Anolis sagrei: one gene and its partners. The protein of the gene in region 1 interacts with the protein of each later gene in a pairwise test. Links are inferred from orthologs where the notes say so. Each region holds a gene or a part of one and is shown in the gene's direction. Other genes may lie near its edges. The genes, in order: protein FAM118A, MOB3C and ATOX1.

Region 1 (10,707 bases):
AATAAACTTTCGTTGTGTACTTATGTTCCAACTGACCTTACTTAAAAAATAACCCTCGTAATATAGTAGCAATTCTATCTTCCTGCCTGGCAGAAAGAAGGGGCTGGACTAGATGCCTTTGGGGTTCGCTTCCAACTGTCTGAGTCTTATAATCATAATGTATAATAGTTGTCTCCTGGAGTGACTGCAGGTCTATATTAAGCAACAAGATAAGTTGTAAAAACAAAAAGAAATGAAAATTACTGAATTAGAGAAGCAACTAACTTACATCAAAGATGCTCAGAGGAGGGACAATTTTCTCTTGATGATTTGTCAAGTATTAATAGTCAAATCAACTAATTGATTTGTAAAGTGTCACTAGTCAAATAATCAAAGAAGGTACGCAACCACAAAGCCAACCAACTAAGGGGAAGGTCAGGCTCTTCTGTTGTCTACAGCGAAGCTGTTGGATGGCTGCATTCCGCCCATGGGCAGGATGTTGTGCTGGCCTGCTCTATGGCAACGCCTGGCATTCCATAGAATCTTCTGCAAAATCTAGAAAATTCTTAAAGAGGACATATTTTGTCAGATGAGGAAAGATAAAACTGGGGATGTTTATCCCACTAGTTGGGAAGTTAAGTTTTTTTTAAAAAAAAATAGTCTCAATGAGGAGAATTTTAAAATTGTATTGATTTTAACCTTTGTAAATTACTCTGGGCACCACACTGGAAAAAAGGAAGGAGTATCATCAACACTGAAAATGGTAGTTCATGCATTGGTAACTTCAAGACTGGACTTCTGCAATGGACTCTACACTTGTACCAAGTTTGAAGACTCCAGCTGGTTCAAAACACGGCAGCCAGATTGGTTATGGGAACATAGAGGTGTGAGCATATTACACTGATCCTAAAGTCACCCCGCTAGCTGTCAATTAGTTTCTGGGCAAAGTACAAGGTGATGGCTTTGACCTTTAAAGCCCTACATGGTTTGGGTCCAATTAGCTAAAGGATCTCCCTCTCCCATATTATCCGCTACAAACACTTAGATCTTTTCTCAGGCAGGGGGAGGGGGCTACTCCAACCAGCCAGAACTCGACTGGCTACCGTCACCCACTGGACCTTTTTATCAACCGCCCGAAGACTGTGGACCGACCGGCCTGAAGAGCTCCGACAGCCAGATCCTGTGTCAGAATTTAAAAACTACCCAAAAATCTGTCTCTTCCACCAGGCCTACGCAGCCAGTTGAAAGCATGAACTTTAAACTCATGTCCTGTGTTTTGGTCTCTGTCCTGTGTGATTAATGTGCATTTTACAGAAATGCTTTGATACATATATTTTATGAAATTGCATTTCAACATGTGTGTTTGCAGAATTTTAATAGTATTTTTGTGTGTGTTTTGACTATGTTGTGACCTGCCTCGAGCCATGGGGAGAGGCGGGTAAGAAATAAAATTATTATGATTAACACAGTCTGCTCAGAGATCCCAAAAAGAGTGGTGGAGTCCTTGGATATTCCTGGTGAAAGATCAAGATGGAGCTGCCACTTCAGGCATGATTATTTAATGTAAGCATAATAGGAAAAATCAATCTCTGTCACACTATGTGCACAATTCAAATACATACGTCAGAAAAATAAAGTGGAGCACCTTTGAAGAGAGAAATTTGAGAACAGAAACAATCTATGGCTATGCATATAGTCTATGGTATTTTCCTGCATGTCTTCTTTGTGTATAGCTGCAATTCAACATCCATTCACTATAGTATAAAGATCTGAATACAGCTTAATGGTGTAACATTAGAAAATGTTGATCATTTCCGCTACCTTGGCAGCCACCTCTCCATCAAAGTCAACATCGACGCCGAAATACAACACCGCCTGAGCTCTGCAAGTGCAGCATTTTCCAGAATGAAGCAGAGAGTGTTTGAGGACCGGGACATCCGTAGGGAGACCAAGGTGCTTGTCTATAAAGCTATTGTCCTCCCAACCCTGCTCTATGCCTGTGAGACGTGGACTGTCTACAGACGTCACATGCAACTCCTGGAACGATTCCATCAGCGCTGCCTCCGGAAAATCCTGCAAATCTCCTGGGAAGACAAGCGGACAAACGTCAGTGTGCTGGAAGAAGCAAAGACCACCAGCATTGAAGCGATGGTCCTCCAACATCAACTCCGCTGGGCCGGCCACGTTGTCCGGATGCCTGACCACTGTCTCCCAAAGCAGTTGCTCTACTCTGAACTTAAGAACGGAAAATGGAACGTTGGTGGACAGGAAAAGAGATTTAAAGATGGGCTCAAAGCGGGAAAAAGAGGGAAGGGCAGCATGGCCAAGGAGAATGGCCGGCTGACAGCATTCCCCGGAGCTCCCGGGTGTGATACAAATATTGTGGATTAATAAAACAAACGAAAGATAATTCAGCTCCATTTAAATAGAGGTTTTGCAACTAAAGTTTCAAAGAATCGAAGGGAGAAAGGAGAAGGCAAAACAGTGGCCAGCGATCAAAGCAAACCAGATATTCAGAGGGAAGAAGCTGCTGAAGAAGGGAATTTAATCTAACAGTGATGTATTGACTATGATTCTGTGAAAAATGGTTGTTTTCTTTATAATGCAAAGTTAAGAAACAAATATTTGGGTCAGATCTCGACACTATTATATCTTGTATATTTTGTTTAAAAGGGTAATTTCCATAGACCAAAACATTAAAAGAATGCATTAATCATGGATTGTCTAAGTTGTATCAGGCAGCACAAAACTATGTTAGAACTATAGAAGCTTTTAAGGATTGTTTTAAACTGCAGCCACAGGGTTAGGAGTGCAGGCAGGGAGAGGAAATTACAGCCTTCCACCCTGTAGTAGAGAAACAGTAGTAGAATGGTGCTTTGCTGAAACCATAACAACGATTGTAGGACAAGTTATAATACAAATACTGCTTCAGCTTCCGGAAGCCATAGAAGGCTAAACAGGTCAGCTTGTTTTCTCACCCTTCTTGTTTTTTCTTTGTTTATTTCTCTTTAGGTCGATTAATGGAGTGTTGCTGGTTAAGTCCAAAACTCCCTCTGAGATAAGAGTGATTTGGCAGTGACTTATCAGTTTGTTGTCAGTATTCTTCTCTAATTGTGCTGCTTAATGATTAGCCAGTGAAGAGTCGTGGCTCCGGCTGCATCGCCATTTTCCTTTAAGGATTGTGTTGTTGTTGTTCATTCGTTCAGTCGTCTCCGACTCTTCGTGACCTCATGGACCAGCCCATGCCAGAGCTCCCTGTCGGCCGTCACCACCCCCAGCTCCTTCAAGGTCAGTCCAGTCACTTCAAGGATGCCATCCATCCATCTTGCCCTTGGTCGGCCCCTCTTCCTTTTACCTTCCACTTTCCCCAGCATAATTGTCTTCTCTAGGCTTTGTTGTCTCCTCATGATGTGGCCAAAGTACTTCAGCTTTGTCTCTAGTATACTTCCCTCCAATGAGCAGTCGGGCTTTGTTTCCTGGAGGATGGACTGGTTGGATCTTCTCGCAGTCCAAGGCACTCTCAGAACTTTCCTCCAACACCACAGTTCAAAAGCATTGATCTTCCTTCGCTCAGCCTTCCCTAAGGTCCAGCTCTCACATCCGTAGGTTACTACAGGGAATACCATGGCTTTGACTAGGCGGATCTTTGTTGCCAGTGTGATGTCTCTACTCTTTACTATTTTATCGAGATCATTGCTCTCCTCCCAAGAAGTAAGCGTCTTCTGATTTCCTGGCCACAGTCTGCATCTGCACTCATCTTTGCACCTAGAAATACAAAGTCTGTCATGGCCTCCACATTTTCTCCCTCTATTTTTGAGTTGTCAATAATTCTTGTTGCCATAATCTTGGGGTTTTTTTTTTTTTGACATTTAGCTGCAACCCAGCTTTTGCGCTTTCTTCTTTCACCTTGATTAGAAGGCTCCTCAGCTCCTCCTCGCTTTCGGCCATCAGGGTGGTGTCATCTTCATATCTGATGTTGTTAATGTTTCTTCCAGCAATTTTCACCCCAGCTTTGCATTCATCAAGCCCCGCACATTGCATGATGTGTTCTGCATACAAGTTAAAAAGGTTGGGTGAGAGTATGCAGCCTTGCCATACGCCTTTCCCAATCTTGAACCAGTCTGTTGTTCCGTGGTCAGTTCTGACTGTTGCTACTTGGTCCTTGTACAGATTCCTCAGGAGAGAGACAAGGTGGCTTGGTATGCCCATCCCACCAAGAACGTGCCACAATTTATTATGATCCACAGAGTCAAAGGCTTTAGAATAGTCAATGAAGCAGAAATAGATGTTTTTCTGAAACTCCCTGCCTTTCTCCATTATCCAGTCCATTAAGGATTGTATCTGAATGTTATCTCTGTGCTGACAAAGAACTTTGGAAAGCATTAGTGGTCATGGGGACACTGTGTGCCAAGTTTGGTCTTGTTCCGTCATTGATGAGGGTCACAGTGGTCTCAGAAAGTAAGTTAAGGTACTGCAAGTCCCATCATCCATAGTCTGTTCTCCCCCAAACCTCACCAGAATGTTGAGTTGGCCATGGGGACTCTCTGTGCCAAGTTTGGTCTTTATTGGTATTTGGATGAGTGTCGCTGTGGTTTCAGGAAGTGAGTGAAGATACTGCAAGTCCCATCATCCATCCTCCTCCAAACAGCATCAGGATGTAGAGTGGGTCATGGGGGTTCTGTGTGCCAAGTTTGGTCTTGATCAGACATTGGATGAGAGTCACAGTGTTTTCGGAAAGTGAGTGATGGTACTGCAAGTTCCATTATCCATCGTCCATCCTCCTCCAAACAGCACCAGGATGTAGAGTGGCTCATAGGGGCTCTGTGATCGGTCATTAGATGTGGATTGCAGCAGTCTTTGGAAGTGAGTGGAGGTACTGCAAGTCCCATCATCCATGGCCCATCCTCTTCCAAACAGCACAAGGATGTAGAGTGGGTCATGGGGGCTCTGTGTGCCAAGTTTGGTCTTGATCAATCATTGGATTAGGGTCGCAGTGGTTTCGGTAAGTGAGTGATGGTACTACATGCTTCTAAAGGACCAAGTAACCGATCAGCCGTTGGCAGGGTGGAAAACCTTTTTATCCCACCACTTGCCACCAGATTGCAACGGTTGGCCGGAACTCTAAGGAATAATGCTTCAAATGTATTCCCTAGCTCACACACACGCACCCGTTCCTTCTACTGTTATATTGCTCTCATCTGGTCACCAATGTAAACTAGATTGGATGACCCCTTTGGCCGTTGGTATCAATTTGAAGGAACAGAGTAAAGGACTTTGTCTTCTTAGGCTCCAACTGGACACCTGTCACAAAGCTCTATGTGTTTTTTTTAAGATATTACTGCCACCACTCAAATAGCTTTTGAGAATATAACTTGATGTTATGTGTGAGGTAAAGCTTAGAGTGCCACAGCCCTTTCCTTAACTCTCCCTAATGTGTCTGAGGCGAAAAGATGTTAGAATTCTACTGGAACAGGCTTAATGAAATGAATCACTGTGAGGACTTCTTGTAAAGTTGAACTAGAATAAAGTTTATTTAAATATATTAGAACAAACATCTGGATTCTTCTTTGAATTACGAAAGCATATATGGTCAGCACAGCACAATCTTCTTAAACAGTTACTAAGACTTAACAAGCTTGCTGAACTTCTCAACTGTGTATCTGTTCTTCGATGTGAGCGATTTCCCTCAGCGTATCTAGATCCCACTAGAATACTCTGATCTTTAAAGTGTATAACAACCAGTGTGGTTTCCTCTCACACCAGTCCACAAGCGGCTATTTGGCTCTCCAGGCCACTCTATAGCCACACCTGCCTTTCCAACACTCTCCCTCAGGAAATATTCCACTCACCCTCAAACTACCCTCTTCCCTCAGCTTGAAATTCAATTCCCTTAAAATCCCTTCTCTCTCTGTCTGATGTTCAATCACTTCTCTCTCTTCCAGAAGCTGCCTGCCTCCCTTTTACACTGACAGCTTCAGCTCCTCCCATCTGTCCTAGCCAATCCTGGGGCAGCTAAACTCTTCCCCTCTGCTGATCTGGCTTTCCTTGTATTTCCCTCACCAAGATGGAGGCCGGCTCACTGTCTCTAAAGGCTTTGGCTTCGGCCTACAAGGTATGATTCACTACAGTCCCATCATTCATGGTCCATCCTCCTCCAAACTGCAGTAGGATGTTGAACAGTTATTGGCGAGGGTCTCAGTGCTCTCAGGAAGTGAGTGAAGTTACTTCAAGTCCCATCATCCATATCCAAATTCTTCCAAACCGCACCAGGATGTAGAGTGGGTCATGTGGGCTCTCTGTGTGAATTATGGTCCTGATCTATCATTGTTGGCAGATGTAATGGTCTCAGAAAGGGAGTGCAGGTATGGCAAGTCCCATCATTCATGGTGCATCCTTCTCCAAACCGCACCAGGATGTACAGTGTGGCATGGAGTGCGTTGTAATGATTTTTTTTGGTTTTTTTGGCTTTTTTAGTCCCTTCTGCTGTGTTTTTCAGTGTTTTTATGAGTGGTGGTCACTCGTTGGCCTGAGAGATGTCTTGTGTCCAAATTTGGTGTCAATTCATCCAGTGGTTTTTGAGTTCTGTTAATCGCACAAACGAACATTACATTTTTATTTAGATAGATATTATTAGTAAAGCATTTTGTACCACCGATGACGCATCCAGAGCATACTTGCCCAAAATGACAAACTTTAAGTACTGATGGAGTTTCTCGGGCTTAACCTGGCACAATGTGAGTTGTAGTTGACCCACAACCTTATGCATTCTGTTCCACTAAAAAACTGACTGGGTTGTTGTAGGTTTTTTCGGGCTATATGGCCATGTTCTAGAGCAGGGGTCCACAAACCTTTTAAACAGAGGGCCAGGTCACTGTACCTCAAACTGTTGGAGGGCCGGATTATAATTTGAAAAAAAAAACATGCATGAATTCCTATGCACACTGCACATATCTTATTTGTAATGCAAAAACACTAAAACAATACAATAATTAACATGAAGAACAATTTTAATAAATATAAGCTTATTAATATTTCAATGGGAAGTGTGGGCCTGCTTTTGGCTGATGAGATAGGATTGTTGTTGTTGTTGTTCTTTCAAGTCGTTTCAGACTTAGGTTGACCCTGAGCGAGGGCCGGATAAATGACCTTGGAGGGCTGCATCTGGCCCCCGGGCCTTAGTTTGAGGACCCCTGTTCTAGAGCATTGTCTCCTGACGTTTCGCCTGCATCTATGGCAAGCATCCTCAGAGGTTGTGAGGTCTGTTGGAACTAGGAAAATGGGTTTATATATCTGTGGAAAGACCAGAGTGGGACAAAGGACTCTTGTCTGCTGGAGCTAGGTGTGAATGTTTCAAGTGACCACCTTGATTAGCATTTGATAGCCTGGCAGTCAGTTTGAACAGAAAAAAATATAAAGGAGTCTAGCAGTACTTTTGAGATTAAGGGAAAGACATCTCTAGTGTAAACATTTTTGAAAGCTTATGCTAGTAATGTCTTTCTCTGGGCCCTCTGGGTAGTGAGGTCTCTTCCAAATATCCTCGGGTACCCAAGCGAGCAGAAGAATAACAATCCAGGCAGCCAACCAATCGGGGCTTAGCTTCCGAGATGCGGCTGCCCGGATTGGTCAGCGACCCCCGCTTGACTGGGGCTGGCCAGCGGCGCGCGCAATTGGCCTGCTTTGGGACCTGAGGATGCTTTGGGCGTGCAGCGGCTCCTCGAGACAGACAGGAGGCTCTCTCTCACACTGTCGCCAGCCTCGGAGGAAGAGGAGGAGTTGCGGTCCTCTCGCTGGCTGGAGCCGGCCGAGGAAGAGCAGCCGCCAGCGGGGCCAGGTAAAGGGAGGCGGGCGGAAGAAGGAAGGAAGGAAGGAAGGAAGGAAGGAAGGAGGGAAGGAAGGGAGCCAGCGCTCTCGATCTGATCTGCAATCCAGGCAGGAAGGGAGGCTTTGCAGGATTTGACCCATTTCTCAGGCTAAGCTGGAGGCCGTGTCCGTTGAGCTTCTCCTGCCCTTTCCGTCCTTGGGGAGAGGCAAAAACCCCATTGCTTTGGTCCCAGAGAGCCTCCTTCCTTTCCCTTCCTTTCCTTTCCTTTCTCTATTCCCCTTTCCTTTTTCCTTTCCTTTCCTTTCTCGATTCCTTTTTCCTTTCCTTTCCTTACCCATACCTTTACCTTAACATTAGGTAAAGGTAAAGGTAGTCCCTTGACATTAAGTCCAGTCATGTCTGACTCTGGAGTGTGGTGCTCATCTCCATTTCTAAGCCGAAGAGCCAGCGTTGTCCGTAGACACCTCCAAGGTCATGTGGCCAGCATGACTGCATGGAGCGCCGTTACCTTCCCGCCGGAGCAGTACCTATTGATCTACTCACATCTGCATGTTTTCAAACTGCTAGGTTGGCAGAAGCTAGGGCTGACAGCGGAAGCTCACGCCGCTCCCCGGAATCGAACCTGCGACCTTTCGATCAACAAGCTCAGCAGCTCAGTGCTTTAACCCACTGCGCCACCAGGGGCTCCATTAACATTAAGCATTAACATTAATACTTAACATTGAGCATTCTCAATTAGCAGCCCATTAATCCAGTGTTATTCAACCTGGGGGTCGGGACCCCTTCGGGGGTCGTAAGGGGGTGTCAGAGGGTCATCAAAGCCCATCAGAAAACAAAAGTATTTTCTGTTAGTCAAGGGGGTTCTATGTGGGAAATCTGGCCCAATTCTATCATTGGTGGCGTTGAGATTGCTCTTTGATTGTAGATGAACTATAAATCCCAGGAACTACAACTCCGAAAAGTCAAGGTGTATTTCCCCCGAACTCCACCAGTATTTATATTTGGGTATATTGAGTATTCATGCCAAGTTTGGTCCTGATCCATCCTTGTTTGAGTCCACAGTACTCTCTGGAGGTAGGTGAACGACAACTCCAAAACTCAAGGTCAATGCCCACCAAACCCTTCCAATATTTTCTGTTGGTCATGGGAGTTCTGTGTGCCAAGTGTGGTTCAATTCCATTGTTTGTGGAGTTCAAAATGCTCTTTGATTGTAGGTGAACTATAAATCCCAGCAACAACAACTCCCAAATTACAAAATCAATTTTTGAGTGATGGTCACTCCTTTGGTTACTAGGTGTCTTGTGTACAAATTTGGCGGCAATTCGTCAAGTGGATTTTGAGTTATGATGTCACTCAAAACAAACAGACCACACACACACACACACACACACACATATATTCTATATATATATACACACATATATATTCTATATATTTTCTATAACAAAGAGAGGAGAAATACTGCCCTCTGACTTTTAAGTCTGGTCTTCACATCTTCTTGCCGTGGGCCTTATATCCCAGGAACTGATCCCAGGTTTTCTGCTTTGATCTTGATTATATGAAGCCCCTTTCACAAAATCCCACATTTTCTGCTTTGGACTGGAATATATGGCAGTGTGGACTCCTGCAACCCAGTTCAAAGCAGATATTGTGGGATATGTGGCTGTGTGGAAGGGCCCAGGGTTAATATATCTTGGTGTAATTGCTATTGTTTGTCTTCAATTTGCTTCTAACCTATAGTGACACCATTACAGGGTTTTACTGGCGGAGTATTTCTGGCAGCATCTGTCCCTGTTGAATTTCTGCCTTTGATTTTCTGGGGAATGATAGATAACATAGCCATACCAAAAGGTATACACATATTGTTGAGCCAGGGCAGTGAATAGTTTGTTAGTAATATGCATGAAACTCGGTAAGAAAAAATATCTGTAGTAAGCTTATTTGTGTTGCAGAATAATTACGGGCAGTTCTTCCTTGTTATATTTATTATTTATTATTTATTAACTTTATTTGTACCCCGCTAACATCTCCCGAAGGACTCGATGCAGCTTACAAGGCCAAGGCCTCAATAAAACAACAGTATAACAATACACATACCCCATAAAGCAAATCAAAATATTAAAATATTAAAGCAATAGACAGTAAACAGTAAAAACAATACACCATAACACAGTAAAACTAAGGCCGGGCCAAGTATAATGGGTACAGATTAAAAGTGCTGAGTATGCCGAGTGAAATATAAGGATTTTTGGGTAAGTGCCATGTGCGGACAATCTTAAATCTCTAATAAAGTGCTTCTGGGATGTGTTGCTGGTGTTTCCTATTCTGGAAATGCACACCGGAATAGCCAGGTCTTCAAGCTCTTCCTAAAGACTGCCAACATTGGGGCTTGTCTGATGTCCTTGGGGAGGGCGTTCCAGAGTCGGGGGGCCACCACAGAGAAGGCCCTGTCCCTCGTCCCCACCAACCGCTCTTGCGACGCAGGTGGGATCGTGAGCAGGGTCTCTCCGGATGAATGAAGGGAGCGTGCAGGTTCATAAACAGAGATGCGGTCACGCAGGTAGGCAGGTCCCAAACCGTTTAGGGCTTTGTAGGTGAGCACCTGCACCTTGAACTGGGTCCGGAAAATGAACGGCAGCCAATGGAGCTCCTTGAACAGGAGGGTTGACCTCTCTCTGTAAGGAGCACCAGTTAACATCCTGGCCGCCGCCCGTTGGACTAGCTGAAATTTCCGAGCCGTTTTCAAGGGCAGCCCCATGTTGAGCGCATTACAGTAGTCCAATCTAGAGGTGACCAAGGCATGGACCACCCCGGCTAGATCAGCCTTTGCGAGGTAAGGTTGCAGTTGGCGCACGAGTCTCAATTGTGCAAAAGCCCTCCCGGACACTGCCGACGGTATTTACTGT
Region 2 (10,816 bases), on another chromosome or scaffold:
GGACGTCATTTCCTCCTGTTAGCCATCTCCTCAATAACTATTTGTCTGTAGATGGAGAGTGTATAGTCTCTATCAACTGCATCCATCAATCTATGGCCAGATACAGAACCATGATATCATCTTAAAGAACCTCTGGAAGATCAAGAATCCTTGCTTATTTTGCATCTAGCTATAGGTGCACAGCCAAAAGATATGCTAATATGCCCCCACTCTCTGCTAAATAGCCCTCAATCTGTGGCTGAGATCAGATGAAAAACTCCCTCCAGGGCACATAGAAGGCTGGGCAACTTGAAAGATGCTGAACAGACTGCACTCTCGTACCACGAGATGCAGAGCCAATCTTAAGAAATGGGGCTACAAAGCGGAATCCACAACCTGCAAGTGTGGAGAAGAGCAAACCACAGACCACTTATTACAATGCAATCTGAGCCCTCCCACAATGTAGGACCTTCTCACAGTGACACCAGAGACACTCAAAGTGGCTAGCTTCTGGTCAAAGGGAATCTAGTATAATGCCAAGTTTTTAACTCTGTTGGTGTTCTTTTTAAAATACATTATAACTGTTCCCTCAATTCACTTCTGACACAATAAATAAATAAATAGCTGGGAATGGGGAGCATAAGAGGAAAAGTGAGTCTCAAATAGGTGGAAAGTGTTGTGTGAGGAGTGTAGTGAAGTCCTCCCACATCATCAACCATTTTGAACTTGAATATTTATATGTCACGAACAGAATTTAAGCCAATAGTTGGAACACACCATGGTTGTACAATAAGACTTTGCTCTTAGCTTGGGGTCTGAGAGCTACTTTCTACTAAATTTGCTCCTTATTACAGTGAAGAGTTTTTGAGGGCACAGATGAAATAAAGTCATGTTCTTAGAAAGCCACATAAGCAATTCATGGTAGCTGCTGCCAACTTTATCAGTGAAATGATTGTTCCACTCTAGAACTTCAAAGGAGTTAACCAAGATGCTTAGGCTACATTAGAAATAACTTTCAGCACTTGGGCTTGTTCCTACAACCAAGAGCAAATTTGCTGCCTCAGAAGGCAAACATCACAGCAAGGATTCACCATGTGGAATTTAGAAGTGGTTCAGATATACTCAGAAGTGACAGAGAGGTAGTTTTCCAAAGCAATGTATGCAGTGGAGCAAATTCTATTTAATTAATAATATGGTTGCCATTATTTCAAGCAATTTCTGACTCAAACTCCATGTCCTGACTTTTTATGTTCATATTAGCATGAGGTTTCTTGCTTATACATTAGTTCTTGGTCAAAGGGAACAAAGTCATGGCAGAAAGTAAGGCTATGTTATTTTATTCATTCCTTTACTATCCAACTGTTCTTCTAATGCAGAATCAATTGTGGTTGCAACATGAATTAAAGCAAAATGTGATAAAACCCTGCTCAGTTATATTATTGAAGGACCATTAACCTACTATATTAAGACCAAGCACTGAATCAAAACAATTTAAAATAAACAACAAGAAAGGGAAACACTATAATTCCCCATATTAAAAGACACTTCCAGAGCAACTATGTAATGGCCCATAGCTGTCTGAATAATAGGATACTTGTACTCCAGAGAAGGGCAAGCAGGCAGAAGGCCAACCACATCATCCATGAAAGATGTTCCACAACACCCCAGCTTTGTACCTGAACAGATGCTTCTCAGTCACAGATGATCAGAATATTAAACACAGCCTCTTTCGGGACCAAAATGCACACACTGCAAGGCAATAACAGATCAGATTTGCTTGATTGCTGCTTTCCCCCAGTTAAACATCCTCGTCAGTAATAAACTTCAGCATAAAATATGCCTGGCTAGTTGCTTTTCATCAGAAACTTCCCAAACCTATTCTATTCTATTCCCCTGCATGATTCCATATAGACAGATAGACAAACACACAGATGAACCCTGGGAAGGATTTCGAAGTTCTGAAATCAAAAGATAGGAGGAACAGTCAACATCATCCTATTGATATTTCATTATTCTAGGTGTAAGAACATTATGTAAAGAAGCGGCTTTTGAGCAAAGTTTGCACATTGTCACCACAGTAATGTAATTTGATACAAAAAGAATAGCTGTGTTCATACAATGAAAACGGATTATTTCTATACTTCATTCATTGTCTTCAGTCACTTTTTTGCTCCCTCTTCTATTTTCCTTTTCTCTTTGGTGGAATGATAGCACCTAGGACGGATTGCTTGGATCAGGCAAGTTAGCTTTACATCTATGAGATTAGCTATATTGAGGGAAGAACCAGACTGTCCTGAAAACAAATAGGAGTCTTAAAGTTTAGGGCTTTGTAGATAAGATCTTGCACATTGAATTCTAGCCAGGCTGATAACTTCAGCGTCACTGGATATGTGCATGTCATGCCTTCCAGTATCAGTTAACAAGAACACAAGTGTTTCCTGCACAAGCTGTGGCTTTCTTAATTCATTCTGGGGTGGTCCTTCACAAAACACATGACAGCATCCAGTTCAAAGACATCTAAAGAGGAAAATAAGTCATTATGATGCAACTCATGATTCTTTGGTGCCCTTTCTGGTGCTGTCTCTTAAATCTGTATGACTGGTAGAATTTACTTTCAGGTCTGCTTTATCATTGTTCCCTGTAGTATTTCCCATAGTTGTCTGCTTACAAGAGCTCATGAGTAATACTTCCTCATAATTTGCTCAATCTGTGCCAAATGTGACAGCAGCAGTATTAAGTGACACCGAAAGGCTTTCCAAATTTTGCTCTTGGCAGCTTGTGTAGTAAGAGGAGATGTTTTCAGGCATTTCCTGGACAAATTGTCATGGCTGCATTAACTTGGATCTACATAGAAAGACTGGAAGTCTACCCTTTCAGATCTTTCAGTGAGTTCAACCAATATATAGGGCAGAAACAAGACAAAAACTGATTTTGGAGAAGGGATAGCTAGTTTTCTGTCCATCACAAGAAAATGAATGAGGGTTTTTTTCATATTGTATACTAGGGACCCCATGGAGAAGCACTTCTCTATTTCTGTGTTATCTAAGGAAATAAACTATTTTATGTCACTCCTGTGGATGTGCAGCTGTAGGGCATTTACCTTACAATCATTTATTTACCAGGCATATTGTTTTCTATTATTGTAAATATAGCAGGGGCTTGCACTGTATGGTCCTTATGGTTTCTTCAGATTCTGAGTCTGTAAAGCGTTTTATACTTTCTTATAGCACTTCAGTGGGGGTAATTTTTTATTTTATTTCTTTTAGCAATCCTGATATTAGGTTCTTGTGGGTTTTTTCAGGGTATAGAGCCATGTTCTAGAGGCATTTCTCCTGGCATTTCGCCTGCATCTATGGCAAGCATCCTCAGAGGTAGGATGCTCAGAGGAAAAATATCAGGAAAAATCCTGATATTTTTCATGAAGGGTGATCTATAAATACTGTAAATAAATGAATGAATGAATGAATGAATGAAATGGCTGACACTCATTGATAGATTTGCTATGTTTGTATCCTGTCCTGATAGCCAATGAGACAAATTGGTCAAGAAAGTAACCCATGGCAACTGTAATAAAGGTATAAGGTTATATAGGAAAATTGTTCTTTTCCCTGTAAACTCAAAATTGATCCAGAATAAATTTTCAGGATTTCTTAAAAAAATACTCTACTAATTTAGAGCGACAGAGGATCAGTTACTTGAGAAAAAAGTTATCTTGCAGAAGGGTACAGGTTTGTGACAAGCAGCAAACCAGCAAACTCGAGACATTAGTGTCCCTGTATGGTATCTGCTCATCCATTGCTTTAAAAAGGCAGTGAAGAATGACAAATTCTTTTGGTACACTTCTTCCTCTCTTGTGTCTCAAACTGCTTGATTTGTAGTGTCAGCATGGGCTGGTTAAGAATGCAAGTACAAGCATGGAGACCTTTTCCATGTATGTTTGTGGTTTTTGACTTCTGCTTTTTTTCTTTTAAAACAAGTGTTGTTTATTTTTTAATGTCTTGGACTAAGAAAATATCATTATGGCTGGGCAAAAGATGACAAAATTGGCTTGAATACCCCAAAGACACTGGATCTTGTCTGATCTTGGAAAGTAAGCAACATCAGATCTGGATAGTAAAAGAGATCACTAGGGAATACCAGATGCCTTAGGCTATATTTTGTTGTAAGCCACCCCTAGTCCCTTTTGGGAGAGGGGGTGAGATACAAATAAAGATTATTATTATTATTATTATTATTATTTGATACATAAAAAATAGTACACACACATTGATCACACATTGGACACTTCTCAAGTGTCTAGGTCTGTGTGATGTATTGGTGAATAATGTGTGCAGATCCTAGTAGGGTGGCCTTTTGCAGCTGACAGATGGCAATTTTGTCAGTGCCAATTATTATTAAGTACAGGCCAAGGTCTTTAGGCAATGCACCCAGTGTGCTGATCACCACTGGGAGAAGAAGCCCCCAATGGCGCAGTGGGTTATACCCCTGTGCCAGCAGGACTGAAGACTAACAGGTTGCAGGTTCAAATCTGGGGAAAGCACAGATCAGCTCCCTCTATCAGCTCCAGCTCCTTATGTGGGGACATGAGAGAAGACTCCCACAATGATGGTAACACACCAAAACATCCGGGCAGACAGCCAATTCTCTCACACCAGAAGTGACTTGCAGTTCCACAAGTCACTCCTGACAAAAAAAAAAAAGCCCACTGGGGCCACCTTGACTGGCTTGTGCCAGAGTCTTTGGCGTTCTATCTTTAAATCCTTATATCGTGTAAGCTTTTCTAGTTGCTTCTTGTCAATCATCATCATCATCATTTCAGATCAAGACAATGCCAGATCACATTTGAGTATACACTGCCTAAGAAATTCCTATGAAATTCACAGTTCGACAGATGATTTGGAAGGCACATACACATTCTCTGTTTAACCTTAGCTGGTTAACAGTGGGATGAGAAGCCCTCTTTCCTCCAAAGCATTTTCATTAACAGCAGGACACAGGGCTGAGACATCACTTCTCTCAAATTGCCCCTATGTCAATTCCCTGACTAAAACGGCCTTCATGAAATGATTCCTCTGAGTGTACTTCTGGGCAAGAGTTTGAATTATTGGCAGTAAAAAAAGCACTGTGCAGCTGTTCAATCTTTTCCACCTTAACACAATTTTGTTTGAGAGTATGTGTGGGTGGAAAGACAGGAAACATTGAACAAGTGGTGAAGAAATGTATGAGAGGGTTTCAAATAGAAGAAGAAAGATTTGTGAATATCCTCTCTAGGATATTCTGTAAAATTTCACAATAAAGGCCTCATTTGGAAGTACCCAAAAGGTGGAAACCATACTATCATATGGGGTCTGAGCTCTGCCACATGCATAATGGAGGACCTTCTTACAACAACACCAAAGGTATTCCAAGTGGCCAGCTTCTGGTAAAAGGAAATTTAGTATAATGCCAAGTTTTTAACTTTGTTTGTGGTTTTTCCTATACATTATAAATGTAATCTCATTTTGCTTCTGATGCTATATATATATAGTTTTTCTGCCTAATCTCTAACATGCCACTCCCATGACACTGTTCTCTTTTCCACCACGAAAGCAGTCCTCTTATCTTCTGAAACAGCTTAACTTTTGGTCAGAATATCTTATTGCTTTAGAGATGCACAACTGTAATTTAGAGACCTCAACGATTTATTGGAAATATGGGCAGGCAGCCTATATCTTTTGGACCTTGTTCATATCTTCTCTATTTGCCTCTTCTACTTTTTGTTCTTCTTACCCTTTTTCTGGCCTTTATAACTGCATTTTAAAAATCAAGTGAAAATATATAGGATAAAAGAGAGAAAGACAAATGTTGATTTTAAAGTAGCCGCAAAGTTGTTATAAGGGTACATTGTATTAGATATAATTCAGTGAATAGTACCGGAATGAGCCCCCGGTGGTGCAGTGGGTTAAACCGCTGAGCTGCTGAGCTTGTTGACTGAAAGCTCACAGGTTTGAATCCGGGGAGCGGCGTGAGCTTCTGCTGTCAGCCCCAGCTTCTGCCAACCTAGCAGTTCAAAAACATGCAAATGTGAGTAGATCAATAGGTACTGCTCTGGCAGGACGGTAACGATGCTCCATGCAATCATGCTGGCCACATCTGCATATCTAAGGTTGTTAATGTTTCTTCCAGCAATTTTAACCCCAACCTTGCATTCGTCAAGCCCCGCACATTTCATGATGTATTCTGCATACAAGTTGAATAGGTTGAGTGAGAGTATACAACCTTGCCGTAGGCCTTTCCCAATCTTGAACCAGTCTGTTGTTCCATGGTCAAACCCATTTAAACCATGGTTTAGACCCATTGCGCCACCGGGGGCTCCAACCATTAGTTAGAAACACTACAACGAGCTTACGGGCTAAATCCCATAACTGAAACTTGCAAAGAGTGAGAAGAAGAATGGCAGCAACCGGGATGGATTTTTAATGTTTTCGTCTGGAATTTCCCACGCGTGCAACCTGATCTCAAAGTCCGTCTTCAACTGGAGCCACGAGAAACGAAAATGTAGCGGATCTGAGCGAGTGGGGGGGCTGGGTTTGGGGAAAACCCAGCGCGGGAGTTTCCCAAGGCTGACTTTCCCAAGGCTCCTCTTCCTTCCCCAGCCTTTGGGGCGACCAAGGCAGGAGCGCCACAAGGGGAAGGTGGGAGGGAAAGCAGGCAGTGGGCGAGGAAAGGCAGCCCTCCTCCTCCCCCCCCCCCCTCTAGACCCAGTCAGGATGTGACATCACTGGTGGGGCAGAGCGAGAGAGAAGAAGGCAGGGAGTTTCTTTCATGAAAACCCCAGCGAAGGGCTTGTCTTGTGGAGCAACTTGAAGCCCTCGAGCTCCTGGTCGCGCCTTCTCAGTTCCACCTTGGCTGGAGGAACCCGGCTCTTGCACCGTTTCTACAAGGTAACAAGCTTTGATTCCTATTAGCTGGGAGTTCAAAGTGGTCGGGTTTTTTGTTTGTTTCTTTTGCCTTTTCTCCCCCAAACGGGAACGCGAAAGCGCCTCCAAACTCAGAGTAAAAGTCTTTCTGGGTTTGCTCAGCCTTGTGGTCCGGTGAACAAGATGATCCCTTTTCACGTCTTGGATTTCTCACCGTGTCACCCTTTGTGGTCTCAAAGGGGCGCGATTTGTGGTCGAGGGGCATTTTAGGCAGGCGATTGAGCTCCGGAAAGGTGTTTGCTAATATTTGTGGCGTCCACATGCTGCTGGGAATCAACAAATGACTTTTAAATCAAATGTTTACTGGGGAGAGAAAGAAAGAGAATGAGAGAGAGAGAGAAGGGAAAAAATCTAGAGGAAGTTTGCCAGCGCTATTAGGTCTTGTTGGTGTTGGGTGGCCGCCAGTTGCCACTTCGCAACCCGCCAAGGAAACTACAAACACTCAGTGTCCGATCATGCTTGTAGTAGGATTGAATCATCTCATAATTGGGTGTACTGAAGGCTGAAGCCTCAATGTTTGCGACAGATTATAATCCCCAGTTAGAATTATACTCAAGGGAGAGGAGTGTGAGTTCCAATTCCCTGATACCAGAACGTTGAAAAATTACTTTTTTGAAATTCTACAATACATACATATGCTTCCATTCTGACCACTGGCCCTGTCAGCTGTAAGACTGTGGAACTTGTTGCCTCTTACAAGGAACTTTCCCAGGCTCTGCCTAATGATGTTCAAAGTTTCCAAACCATTTAAAAGAGAACTGATGACTTACTAAAGTTGTGACAAATCCTCCCGATCAAGACACACATTGTTTTTGAGTAGGTGTACATAGGTTGTACTAAAGCAGAACTGATTATATGCAGGACATAGTTTGCAGCCTGCCCTGAAGCATTGTCAATGGACTATTTCAATAAAGCACTCGTAATCCTCAGGGACTGGGGCGACCAATATGATCTTGTCTTCTAACATATCTGAGAATTTAGACCAATCTGCCTTTCTGAGGCCTCATAGTTGGGAACAATTGGCATACTATCAACCAATGCTGTGTGTTTTGCATTGGTAGTCCCACTGCACAATGCTGTCACTCACACATAAGACAAATAAGACATCTCCCACTGTTGTAGGATGGTGGGAGCTTACTATCATGAATAGTTTGTGCAATCGTTTGTGCAGTTCAGCCAAAGAGAGGGCAGCCTCTCCATTTTTATCCTCCTGAGCATAGCCCCATACATGGCTATGGCTGTTAAAGTCACCAGTTGTTACTGCCCTTTGGTGCCTATCAAAGTTCTCAGGAGAGAAGAAACAAAACTCTTCATTTGGGGGCTTGTACATAGAGGTAATCATAATATTATTAAGATCTACTGTTATAACCTCTGTATTGTTTTCTTCAGTGTTATGGGCACTGCTGACGTGGAGGCCTGGTTTTACAAAGACAGAACTTCCATATTGCGCATGTAGTCTTTACATCACTAAGGTCATTCCTGGAACTTTTGGTCATTTCTGTTGTTTATCCCTATGTGTTTCTTGGACACACAGCACGTCACATTTCTTATCTCTGAACAGTTGTAAAGCAGTTGTTCTTTGGCAGCTGACATACCTTTGATGTTGATTGAGATTATTGTCATAGTTGGTCCTGAAAAGGTCAATTGGTTTGTTTGGTTGCATGCTGCAAGTTGCTTCTGGTGTGAGGGAATCAGGTGTCTATAAAGATGTTGCCCAGGGGATGCCCAGATGTGTTACAATCCAACAGGGAGGCTTTTCTCATGTCCTCCATTGACAATGATGAAGTAGCTTCCTGCTTTTTCATTTGGGCTACTTCAGTTGAGCCAGGGTTTCTTTATCCAGGGCATACCCTTTCCACATACTAACTTTATGACTCAAGAATCCAGCATGGTTTAATGCAGTGGTTCTCAACCTGTGAGTCCTCAGGTGTTTTGGCCTATAAGTCCCAGAAATCCCAGCCAGTTGGGATTTCTGGGAGTTGAAGGCCAAAACATCTGGGGAACCACTGGTTTAGAGGTTTGAGTATTGGAAGCTCTGAAGACCAAGGTTTGAATTCCCACTCAGACATGAAAGCCTCTGGCCTCTGGCCAGTCTCACTTGTTCAACTTCAGAGAAAGGCAGTGACAAATGTCTTCTGAACAAATCTGGCCAAGAAAATGCTATGACGAGGTTGTCTTCACACTGCAATAAGTCAGAAATGACTTGAAGGCACATAATAAAGGTTACAGAGACGTGTCATGGACCATGTGCAGAATGTCTTAACTAGAGGAAGCACAGCCTAGACCTCTCTATTATATCCATTATATCAATAGCAAGCCGTGGAGGCCGTGACAGACTTTGTATTTCTAGGTGCAAAGATTACTGCAGATGCAGACTGTGGCCAGGAAATCAGAAGACGCTTACTTCTTGGGAGGAGAGCAATGTCCAGTCTCGATAAAATAGTAAAGAGTAGAGACATCAGACTGGCAACAAAGATCCGCCTAGTCAAAGCCATGGTATTCCCTGTAGTCACCTACGGATGTGAGAGCTGGACCTTAGGGAAGGCTGAGCGAAGGAAGATCGATGCTTTTGAGCTGTGGTGTTGGAGGAAAGTTCTGAGAGTGCCTTGGACTGCGAGAAGATCCAACCAGTCCATCCTCCAGGAAATAAAGCCCGACTGCTCACTGGAGGGAAAGATACTAGAGACAAAGCTGAAGTACTTTGGCCACATCATGAGGAGACAGGAAAGCCTAGAGAAGACAATTATGCTGGGGAAAGTGGAAGGCAAAAGGAAGAGGGGCCGACCAAGGGCAAGATGGATGGATGGCATCCTTGAAGTGACTGGACTGACCTTGAGGGAGCTGGGGGTGGTAACGGCCGACAGGGAGCTCTGGCGTAGGCTGGTCCATGAGGTCACGAAGAGTCGGAGACGACTGAACGAATGAACACATCAATAGCAAGAGCTCCTTGGGCAAAGAGCATCTTACTAGGCAGGTTTCAGTTCCTTCATTGAGACATACAGAGGATTATCCAGGTTGAGTAGAAGAGGGCCATTAAGAGCTGAGTGTGAATCACAGCAGAGTTTGTTTACCACTGCTTGGCACTCTTTCAAAGGAGGATTTCTTTGTGTTAGTTTGTTGCCTGTCATCTTATAATACTTTACCTTGGAATAATTCTTGAAGCAGGCTGATGCATTGTTAATTAATTGTGTGTGTGTGTGTGTCCTGAAACATGCTGTTTGAATTGCCTGTCTCCCTAAACTGATACTGCCCAAACCGACCTTTTAAATGTGAACCCTATGGGGTACTTTGCCAAGGGGAAGGGAGCCACGGTAATTTCCAAATAACTGCTCACTACAAATGATTTTATATGCTATGGGTCACATCTCTTGCTGCAGCTTGTTAAAAGCACAAGTTGTCATTAATAATCCTTATAGCATTTTTCAGTGCAGAAAGTGCTTTGCAGTTCTTCTTTCGCACAACCATGCAAATAAATTCAGTGAGTTTACTGCCAGATAATGTATAGGAGAAGAATTAGAAGTATGGGAAATAAACTTGAGTCTTCTCACCTCCAAACCCACACATTAGCCATACCAGGGATCAAAGACTTTAATATACACATTGCTATACTCATATAGTTTGCCACACATCCCTGCAACAATAGTAGTAGTTTCTGTTTGTGTGTTATCCTAGTTAGGTAACTTTACATAGGCAAGAGCAGGGCCATTGTGCAAGTCTAAACTCATCCCTCAGCCAACACTGATCATCATTGTAAAACTAGTGCAAATATTTGTCAACAGCAAGATTTGGGCTAGAGATGGGAAGGGTCATGAATACCTTCTCCACCCGCAAGCACTTCATTGTCACCAACTGCTCCATGGATCTTCATGAAATATAGC
Region 3 (10,542 bases), on another chromosome or scaffold:
ACCACCATCAGAATTGGGGGGGGGGCTGAAGCCCCCCGAGCCCCCCCCCCCCCCCCACCCCCCCCCCCCCGGCTACATGCCTGGGTAACTAGCAAGGTTAGTGATCAGAAAAATAAACACCTGGCAAAGCACAGGATGCAGAAAACTTCAAGACAAACTAGTTTATTTTATCATATGCTTTTACTAACTCCCTCCCAATATTGTTGGGCTGGAGAATCCAAAAAAAAAAATGGAATCTAGAAAAGCTTATTAGCTAGCCTTAAAAGGTGCCACTAGACTCCTCCTTTTTATACTAAAACAAACTAACATAGCTATCTCTCTGGAAATGGATGAAGAAATCTTCAGCTGGTGATTAAAATACTCTATATAGGAAGCACCCCACAGAGACATTATCCAACGGAAAGATCATTTAGCCTGGTGGGTGCCGCAACAGAGACATCCCTCCTCTATACTTTCAGCAAGTAAACTTCACAATGCTGTGGGGTACAGTGGCTCCTGCACTGAGACCCTCACCATAACCTGGTCCAAAGCTATTTAGAGATTCATAACCAATTTGAACTTTGTATTTAGAGACAGAGAAAAATTACTCTTCCTTTATCATTAAGCATCTGGAGGAGTCCCTGGTAGTGTAGTGGGTTAAACCCTTGTACCGGCAGGAGTGCTGACCAACAGGTCAGCGGTTCAAATCTGGGGAAAGTGAGTTGAGCTCCCTCTGTCAACTCCAGCTCCCCATGCAGGGACATAAGAGAAGCCTGCCACAAGGATGTTAAAACATCAAACACCCGGGCATCCCCTGGGCAATGCCCTGGCAGATGACCAATTCTCTCACATCAGAAGCAGCTTGCAGTTTCTCAAGTCGCTCCTGACACACACACACACACACACACACACACAATAAAATTCAAGCATCCTGAAATATAAAGACTCCGGCAAGCACAAGGGGTACTTAAAAGTGCCATCCATGCATTTGGTGGAGTTTATTCCTAAGTAAACATGCACAAGATAGATTGAAGGTAGTCTCATTATTCCTTTAAAAACCCATTTCTCAGTGCTTGAATATTCAGTAAACCTCTGATTGATAATTTCTGAACTACCTAGTAGCGGTGGTAACCCAAATCTGCCAGATCATTTTAGAGAATTCAGCCTAGTTTGGAGGGTAGGATCAAGCTCCCTTCCCATTCCAGGGTCCGTGGATTTTTCTATAAATTTTATCCTTTTTCCCACATCTAAGACCTGAAATGCCCTGACTGCAATCCACATCCTAACACATACAATAAATAAATCCAACTAAACCTGTTCAACTATATCTGTTCAACAGATATGCGTATATGGGAAGTATGTTCTTTTCTGTTAACCAAGCCTTATGCTCCATTAGGTATATTTCAAATTGAGCTTAATGCTTTGATCTTATGTACCAGTATGTCTTCTCAGAAATAATTCCCAGTGTGTTCAGCGGATCATATGCCTAGGTAAATAAGCCAGGGCCACCTCAACACAATTTGCTTCCCTGGGGAGATTCATAGTATCACACTACTGTGGCATCCAAGGCAGAAAATCACAAAAATGCTCTTTGGAAGTAAAACACTTAAAAACTGTAATTATGCATTTAAAAGGAAGAATTTGCTTACCTTTTCATCATCACCCAAAATCAAGGAAGCAAGCTGGATGTCTCAATCTACCTAATGCTGGGCCAGATTCAGGACTCCAGCTTAAGGACAGCTGATCGATGAAATGCTCTCATCAAGCCATTGCTGCAAGTCACTTTTGGTCGCTGCTGGTGTGAGAGAATCAGCTGTCTCCGTAGAAGTTGCCTGGGGGACACCCGGATGTCTTGCAATCCTGCAGGGAGGCTCCTCTCATGTCCCCCTCTCATGTCTAATATAATGCCAAGTTTTTAAACTTTGAGTGTGTTTGTGTGCATTTTTAATACATTACAACAGTACCCTTTGCTCGCTCCTGATACAATAAATAAATAACCAAACCATTTGTAGATTGTAACTTTTAACTAAGTGTCCTAAGGCAACACTACTCAGATATGACCAGTGCTAGTCCATGAATCATCTGCTGATGATTTGTAGTGAGTTTCCAGGAAATTATGGCTCTGCTTATCTGATGAATTAAGGACCAGGTCGCTGACAGAAAATGGAATTGGTTGAAAAGTGGAACTACAAGGAATTTTAGCTAGCAAATAAAAGATTAAACACTAGGTGGCGATAAGTCAATGGAGAGAGAAATAAAACCAATGCACCAATAATGCAGCAGAAGTGGTTGGAAGAGTAGACTAGGGGCCAAACGTGTTGCACAAGGCTATAATTTAGGTGGGTCAAAACAGCAGAACATCCAAAACTGAGTTGTCAAAAAGTGTGGGATGTTTGTAGAACAGGCATGGGCAAACTTCAGCTCTCCAGGAAAGACAGGAAGAGGCTGTTAGGAATTATGGGAGTTGAAGTCCAAAACACCTGGAGGTCTGAAGTTTGCTCATGCCTGTTGTAGAATCATTATAATGAATATGGTACCAGTCTCTGACACACCGGGGAGAAAGTTCACAGCCTGCCATATAAGACAGTTTAGGAAGAACTAACAGGACGGTGACTTGATTTTTTTTTTTTTTGGTCGTGTCAGGAGTGACTCCTGGCGTGAGAGAATTGGCCGTCTGCAAGGACGTTGCCCAGGGGACGCCCGGATGATTTGATGTTTTATCATCCTTGTGGGAGGCTTCTCTCATGTCCCCGCATGACGAGCTGGAGCTGATAAAGGGAGCTCATCCGCCTCTCCCCGGATTCGAACCTGCGACTGTCGATCTTCAGTCCTGCCGGCACAGGGGTTTAACCCACTGCGCCACCGGGGGGGCTCCATGGTGACTTGATGATACAGACAGACATAAGTTAAGGTATATATGACTGAAGTTACACTTAAAAATGTACCTGTTTCAACTTACATACAAATTCAACTTGAGAACAAATTGACAGAACCTGGGGACTACCTATCTGGGTTGACTTGTCCACAGGTCAATGTGAGTACTTTAACTTGACTCTTATCCAAAAAGGAACCATCCTTTTTATCTGAGTAGTGCCACAAGCTTAGTCCATCCCATGTAAACCTAAAAGAAGCACCAATTTGCTTCCTCCCATAGGGCCCTTCCAGACAGGCCCTATATCCCAGGATCTGATCCCAGGTTTTCTGCTTTAAACTGGATACAAGTCCATAATGCCAGATAATCTGGGTTAAACAGAAAATTTGGGATATAACGCATGTCTGGAAGGGCCCTTGTAACAAAATGTATAATTACAAAGTAGGTTGAAAAGGGTCAGTTGGTTAGTTAGCTGAAGTCAGTGAAGTTGTTAGTCAGTTAGCGGGAGTCAGTGAGGTAGTTTGCTGAAAGCAGCTGGAAAACTAGCTAGGGAAAAGCTAAAGTGGTTGACTGGTAGCAGGAAGCTAATGACAGTAGAGAGGTTTTAAAGGACCAAGTGGTCAGGATCTCTATGCCAGGCAAAAGATTATTAGAAGTCAGTTTTCATATGTTAATATAAAAGTTCTTTTGGAAAAGAGGAAAGGCTTAAAGGAAAGTCATGTTGAAACTCTGTTTTGTAACCAATAAGCATTTATACTTTTGAAACCAGCACGCTTTTGTCACAAGAACGATACAAATAAAACTGTTTCCTTTTAAGCAAAGTCTCTCTCAATCTAGGTTCTTGTGGGTTTTTTCGGGCTATAGAGCCATGTTCTAGAGGCATTTCTCCTGACGTTTCGCCTGCATCTATGGCAAGCATCCTCAATCTCTCACCACCAATTTAAGAAGACACAAAAGGTGGTAGAAAAATCAAACAACCTTTTATTCTTTGGTGGCATCTTTGCACAGGCTGGTAGCCGGACCCTTCCTGACCTTTTTACATTTTTGGTGAGATAAATAAATAAAAAGTCCCGCCACGCAACCAGTTTAAGTGCCTCACAGCCCTTATATGGAAGCTTGTTACTGTTGTGGGGCAAGCTGAAATCCCCACCAAAGGGATAGCCCGGCCCTCCATTTCACCTGGCAATGCTGTGTGACAGGGGTGTCTCTCACACACCCATTTCAGAATGGACCACCACCCCCCCCCCCAATATCTTACAACCACCACTTGCCATTACATTAAAAAATATCCAAGCTCTGGGTTCTATTACAATGAGAGAAGAAGAGAATTGATTAGTTGGATTCCATTATTCATTTATCTGCTCTCTTTTCCACCTGCACAGTCCTTTCTGACTTTAAGAGGCCAGACCTATCTAGTTTTTAAGAATACCATATTAATTATACAATATTACAGTATTTTATTATATAATATTAGTGCAGCATACATTTTAAAACTGGCTTTCATCTCACCCATTTTTCCCCCTCTTCCCAAGCCATACACATTTACAACCTGGCTTCAGACTACAAAAAAGGAGATTCCACCTGAACATGAGGAAGAACGTCCTGTGAGAGCTGTTCAGCAGTGGAACTCCCTGCCCCCGAGTGTGGTGGAGGCTCCTTCTTTGGAGGCTTTTAAACAGGCTGGAGGGCCATCTGTCTGGGGTCCTTTGAATGCGATTTTTCTGCATCTTAGCAGAATGGGGTTGGACTAGATGGCCCATGAGGTCTCTTCTAACTCTAGGATTCTAGTCCTCAAGAGGTGCAGCAGCACAACTGCTCCCAAGTGTATCTTGAGAGTGTATCTACACTGTAGAATAATGCAGTTTGACGCTACCTGAATTAGGAGCCGTAGTGCTGCAATGGGTTAAACCCTTGTGCCAGCAGGACTGCTGACCTGAAGGTTGGAGGTTCAAATTCACGCAACAGGAAGAGCTCCCGTCCATCAGCTCCAGCTTCCCATGCGGGGACGTGAGAGAAGCCTCCCACAGGATGGTAAAACATCCAAACTAGGGTGTAGAGTGAGCTCTCATCTGTCAGATCCAGCTTCCCATGCGGGGATATGGTAAAGCATCCAGGCCAGGGTGTAGAGTGAGCTCCTATCTGTCAGATCCAGCTTCCCATGCAGGGACATGAGAGAAGCCTCCCACAGAATGGTAAAGCATCCAGGCCAGGGTGTAGAGTGAGCTCCTATCTGTCAGATCCAGCTTCCCATGCGAGGACATGAGAGAAGCCTCCCACAGAATGGTAAAGCATCCAGGCCAGGGTGTAGAGTGAGCTCCTATCTGTCAGATCCAGCTTCCCATGCGGGGACATGAGAGAAGCCTCCCACAGAATGGTAAAGCATCCAGGCCAGGGTGTAGAGTGAGCTCCTATCTGTCAGCTCCAGCTATCCCATACGGGGACATGAGAGAAGTCTCCTACAGGATGGTAACATATCCGGGCATCCACTGGCCAACGTTAATTCTCTCACACCAGAAGCGACTTGCAGTTTCTCAAGTCGCTTCTGATACAATTTTTAAAAAACCACTTGAATTGCTGTAGAATCTTAAGATTTGTCGTTTGGTGAATCGCCAGCACTCTTGGGCAGAGAAGGCGAAAGGCCATGCAAAACGACAACTCCCAGGATGCCCTACAATTAAGTCCTGGCAGTTAAGCGATGACAAACTGCGTTTAGTCCTAAATGTCGATGCACCTTAAGTACAATGTTCCCCACGCGCCTCTGAGCATGTGCAGAGAGAATAGCGTGGCGCGTCACTCCCTGCCAACGGAATGGCTCCCCCTGGCGGCGCAAGGAAGGAAGGGCGCTTCTTAGCCCCCCCTCCTCCCGCGGTCGAAGGCTGAAATAGGCGGGGAGTGGGCGTGGCTAGCCAGCGGTGGGCGGGGCTTCCTTGGCCTTTCATTATTGCGGAGGAAGGTGGGGAAGAGGCTGCTTCTCCGTTCCGGTGACTGGCAGAAGGGAAGCAGCCGCAGCAGCCATGCCGGTGGGTGACTTCCAAAGGCGGCTCCAAGGGGCTGGGTTTGGGCCGGGAAAAGGGTCAGGGCAACAGCGGGGGAGCCAAGGATGGAGCAAGGGATCCACTCCCCCCCCCCCCAATCATTGCTACAACAACCTCCCCTTCCCTGCCCAAAAGAAAACGAGATCTGCTAAATCAGATCCTCAGGCCCAGGATGCATCTACACTACAGAATTAATGCAGTTTGACAGCACCTTAACTGCCACGGCTTAGTGCCACGGAATCATAAGAGCTGTAGTTTGGTGAGGCATCAGCACTCGTGGACAGAGAACTCTAATAGATCTTGCAAAACTACAAATTCTATGATTCTGTAGCATTCAATCATGACAGTTAAATTGGCTTGTTATTAATAACAGTGCCTGACTGCTGATATGGAAAATGAAGAATTCAAATATAGTCCCAAAGCCAATCCAGTTGAATGTTTTCACTACACAAGATGGATCTAAGACAGCGGTTCTCAACCTGTGGGTCCCCAGATGTTTTGGCCTTCAACTCCCAGAAATCCGAACAGCTGGCAAACTGGCTGGGATTTATGGGAGTTGTAGGCCAAAGCACCTGGAGACCCACAGGTTGAGAACCACTGGTTTAAGATGGTTCTCAACCAAACACCCTAATGTTTCAGTGGAGATCCTATCTGCAAGGGATGTGATAAAGGGATGATGTATAGCAGGCATGGGCAATTGGTAGGCTGTTAGGAATTGTGGGAGTTGAAGTCCAAAACACCTGGAGGGCCGAAGTTTACCCATGCCTGCTGTATAGTTTGAGAAAGGCTCTCTAGGATTTCACCCCATACGTTTTGAAGAGAAGTTTTGCAACCCTTTTGATTCAACTCATATAGAACGTGTTGCAGTAGTTTCAGTGTTGGAGTGCCACTCCAGAGACCAGGGTTCGATTCCTCACTTGGCCATCGAGACCCATTGAGTGACCTTGGCCAAGTCACACACTCTCAGCCTCAGAAACCCCATAATGGCTTTAGGGTCATCAGAAGTCAGCACTAACTGGAACGCACACAGGAACAACAAGCAGAGGAGCCTCACCCTTGTTGGCATATGGAATGAGATGTTTTGCTCCGCTATAGTGAAGATAAAACCATTCCTGATGACTGTTAAAACCCTTAATGATGACTGTTCAAATGGTGTATTTAGTTGTCCTTTGTAAAATTGTAGCTTAACTTCTGTTTTATTATTTTGTTTTGCTTTGGGTTTATATTGTGTGTGTGTGTGTGTGTGTGTGTGTGATTAAGTTGCAGCATTAAGCCAGCTCAAGTCGTTTTGGGAATGGTTGGCTGTTACTCACATGTTTATACTGCCCTAGTTTTTTGTGGATCAGTGCCCACTTTGTCAGGTTTGTGCCATGATAAATGTCTTAAGGTGCACAAAGACCTTGTTGTCTCCTTCTGTGTGGACTTTTTGGAACCCCTGAATGCAACCTGAGAGATGAAGAGGATCACTCAAGACCTGGCAAGACACACACACACACACACACACACACACACACACACACAGAGGCCCAGAAGAACTATCCAGTGAAGGCAAAGCCAGTTAAAGAGTTTGTTCCTTCCTGAGAAATAAAAGGTTTTGCTTCAAGACATCTCTCAGAAGTAACTTCAGCAGTACAGTGATTATGTCAGACAAACAGCTGTAGCCTGGCTTAAAAAGCTGTATGAACTTTAAGCCTGACCACAGTCCAGCGAGGGTGTTTGCCCACACAAGTGACCTTCTGGGCCTAAATGCAGTAAACATTGGGGAAATATCAGGGGTCTTTGGACTCCCAACCTCAGATTCCTCGAGCCACAATAGTGTTAATCAAGCTGATGGAGGAACGCAGGAATCCAAAAAAAAACCAAAAAAGTAACTTCTCCAAGCTCTGGCCCCAGTGATTAGTCGAAGGATTGGTCCCTTACTGTGCTATACAGTAAAGTCTCGCTTATACAATAAAACCGGCCAGCAGTATGTTGGATAAGCAAAAATGTTGGCTAATAAGGAAAGATTAAGGAAAAACCTATTAAACGTCAAATTACGTTATGATTTTACAAATTAAGCACTAAAACTTTTTTTACAACAAATTGACAGAAAAAGCAGTTCAATACATGGTAACATTATGTAGTAATTACTGTATTTACAAATTTAACACCAACCCATTGCAGTGTATTGAAACAACTGTGGATCCAGGTGGGAGTCAGATAGTGTTGGATAATACAGAATGTTGGATGAGCGAAGGTTGGATAAGTGAGACTCTACTGTATTTCTTTTAGGCAAAAAGAGTTCATGTGTGAGCAAGATTTGCCTGTGCTATAAGATCTTGCACATGCCTTTATCATTCTAGAACAAAAAATACAAAAGAGCCCCTTGCAGAACTTGACTGTTGACTTTAAGAGCAATAATAGAGGGGGAAAAAGACGTAAGGAGGCATCTACTGCTTAATGCAAAGATTGATCATTTCTCTCCTCCCTCCACCATCATCTAGAGAAGCTAGACATATCTGGCCTCACTAATAGGCAGGGTGAAGCAGCTGCCTCAAGCACTATATGTTAATGTATAGTTAGCAAACAAGTTCTTCTGTGTTCCCTAAGTTAGCCAGCTGCCCTCAAATGCAGTGTCCGATGTTGCCCTATCACCAGTGTTGCTGTAAGAGTCAGGGTTGTTGACTTACAACACTCAGATTCTCCCAGCCATGACTGCAGGTCCCATTGGCCATACTGGCTGGGAGATTCTGGGAGCTGAAGTAAAAAAAAAAAAACTTTTGCAAAATCTGGTAAAACTTAGCAGAGTGAGAAGAAGCCCTATCTTCTTGTCATGCATCAAGCAGACAAGAGTTCCCTTGCCTAGTTTCCAACAGACCTCACAACCTCTCAGGATGCCTGCCATGAATGTGGGTGAAAAGTCAGGAAAGAATGCTTCTGGAACATGGCCATACAGCCCAGAAAACTCACAGCGACCCAGCCCTGTCTTGTTCTCAAGCAACGAAATGTCTTGGGCTGGCCTTGAAACTGGAGGTGAACTAGACCTTTTGAAAGGTGGCTGGAGGCTGACATTTCTGCATCATGAGGCCTTATGTCCATTTCTGACTCCACCAACCACAACACATATTTGAATGTCTGGCTTGGATACCAGGCCAATTTCCAGCTTCGCTTCTGTAAATTGCGTCTTTAGTGGTACCAAGAAAAACCGGTTAGTCATTCAAAGACTGACTTTTTATTCCCATGCTGTTCTGTAAGCTGTAGCAACAGTGCACAGCAACACACAGCTCACTTGGGATTGGTCCATTTAGGAAGGATCCAGAATTTGCCACGTCTTATTAATCTCTGAGTGATTCATGGTTCACACAGGGAAAAGACAAAAGTATTACTAACCTTTCTAATGTAGATTTTTCCTAGTTAATAGATGGTGGTGAAAATTACTTGAGATCAAGTGTTAGTGGAGGTAAGACTAGGGAGATATAAATAAGCAGGTCATCATTACAGACACTGGTTCAGATACTGCATTTTTTTCTGAAACAGATTTTGTAGCCAGGTGGTTTTTTGAGAACATGTCCAATTTTATGTATTTATTTTTAAAATTCTGCTTTGTGTACCTGGAATAAGATTTAAGGAAACACAGAAAAGAAAGCAAAAGTGAAATAGAAAGCAAAAACAGAAAGAAGTGATCAGAAATGCTCTAATTTATCTGAAATATTGTTACACAGTCATGTTTAGGAAAAGTAAGAAGAACCAATGAAATTTGGGCAATACACCATCTATCATATAGAATCATAGAATAGAATCATAGAATCATAGAATCAAAGAGTTGGAAGAGACCTCATGGGCCATCCAGTCCAACCCCCTGCCAAGAAGCAGGAATATTGCATTCAAATCACCCCTGACAGATGGCCATCCAGCCTCTGTTTAAAAGCTTCCAAAGAAGGAGCCTCCACCACACTCCGGGGCAGAGAGTTCCACTGCTGAACGGCTCTCACAGTCAGGAAGTTCTTCCTCATGTTCAGATGGAATCTCCTCTCTTGTAGTTTGAAGCCATTGTTCCGCGTCCTAGTCTCCAGGGAAGCAGAAAACAAGCTTGCTCCCTCCTCTCTGTGGCTTCCTCTCACATATTTATACATGGCTATCATATCCCCTCTCAGCCTTCTCTTCTTCAGGCTAAACATGCCCAGCTCCTTTAGCCGCTCCTCATAGGGCTTGTTCTCCAGACCTTTTATCATTTTAGTCGCTCTCCTCTGGACACATTCCCGCTTGTCAATATCTCTCTTGAATTGTGGTGCCCAGAATTGGACACAATATTCCAGGTGTGGTCTAACCAAAGCAGAACAGAGGGGTAGCATGACTTCCCTAGATCTAGACACTATGCTCCTATTGATGCAGGCCAAAATCCCATTGGCTTTTTTTGCCGCCACATCACATTGTTGGCTCATGTTTAACTTGTTGTCCACGAGGACTCCAAGATCTTTTTCACACGTACTGCTCTCGAGCCAGGTGTCCCCCATTCTGTATCTTTGCATTTCGTTTTTCCTGCCAAAGTTGAGTATCTTGCATTTGTCACTGTTGAACTTCATTTTGTTAGTTTCGGCCCATCTCTATAATCTGTCAAGATCATTTTGAATCCTGCTCCTGTCCTCTGGAGTATTGGCTATCCCTCCCAATTTGGTG

Evidence for each region.
Region 2: the proteins of protein FAM118A (region 1) and MOB3C interact in binary tests that used the Homo sapiens proteins (3 or more experiments, as listed by UniProt). The link is inferred for Anolis sagrei from reciprocal best matches to the Homo sapiens genes FAM118A and MOB3C.
Region 3: the proteins of protein FAM118A (region 1) and ATOX1 interact in binary tests that used the Homo sapiens proteins (3 or more experiments, as listed by UniProt). The two-hybrid records come from large-scale screens. The link is inferred for Anolis sagrei from reciprocal best matches to the Homo sapiens genes FAM118A and ATOX1.

The regions. Positions count from the first base shown.
Region 1 is NC_090025.1:100,453,626-100,464,332, forward strand, and holds the start of protein FAM118A, read left to right. Parts: upstream 1-6,046; 5' UTR 6,047-6,091; intron 6,092-7,657; exon of another isoform or gene 7,658-7,669; coding exon of another isoform or gene 7,670-7,810; intron 7,811-10,707.
Region 2 is NC_090024.1:177,747,922-177,758,737, forward strand, and holds the start of MOB3C (MOB kinase activator 3C), read left to right. Parts: upstream 1-6,714; 5' UTR 6,715-6,902; intron 6,903-10,816. UniProt on the Homo sapiens protein: May regulate the activity of kinases.
Region 3 is NC_090022.1:84,269,630-84,280,171, forward strand, and holds the start of ATOX1 (copper transport protein ATOX1), read left to right. Parts: upstream 1-5,750; 5' UTR 5,751-5,865; coding exon 5,866-5,871; intron 5,872-10,542. UniProt on the Homo sapiens protein: Binds and deliver cytosolic copper to the copper ATPase proteins. May be important in cellular antioxidant defense.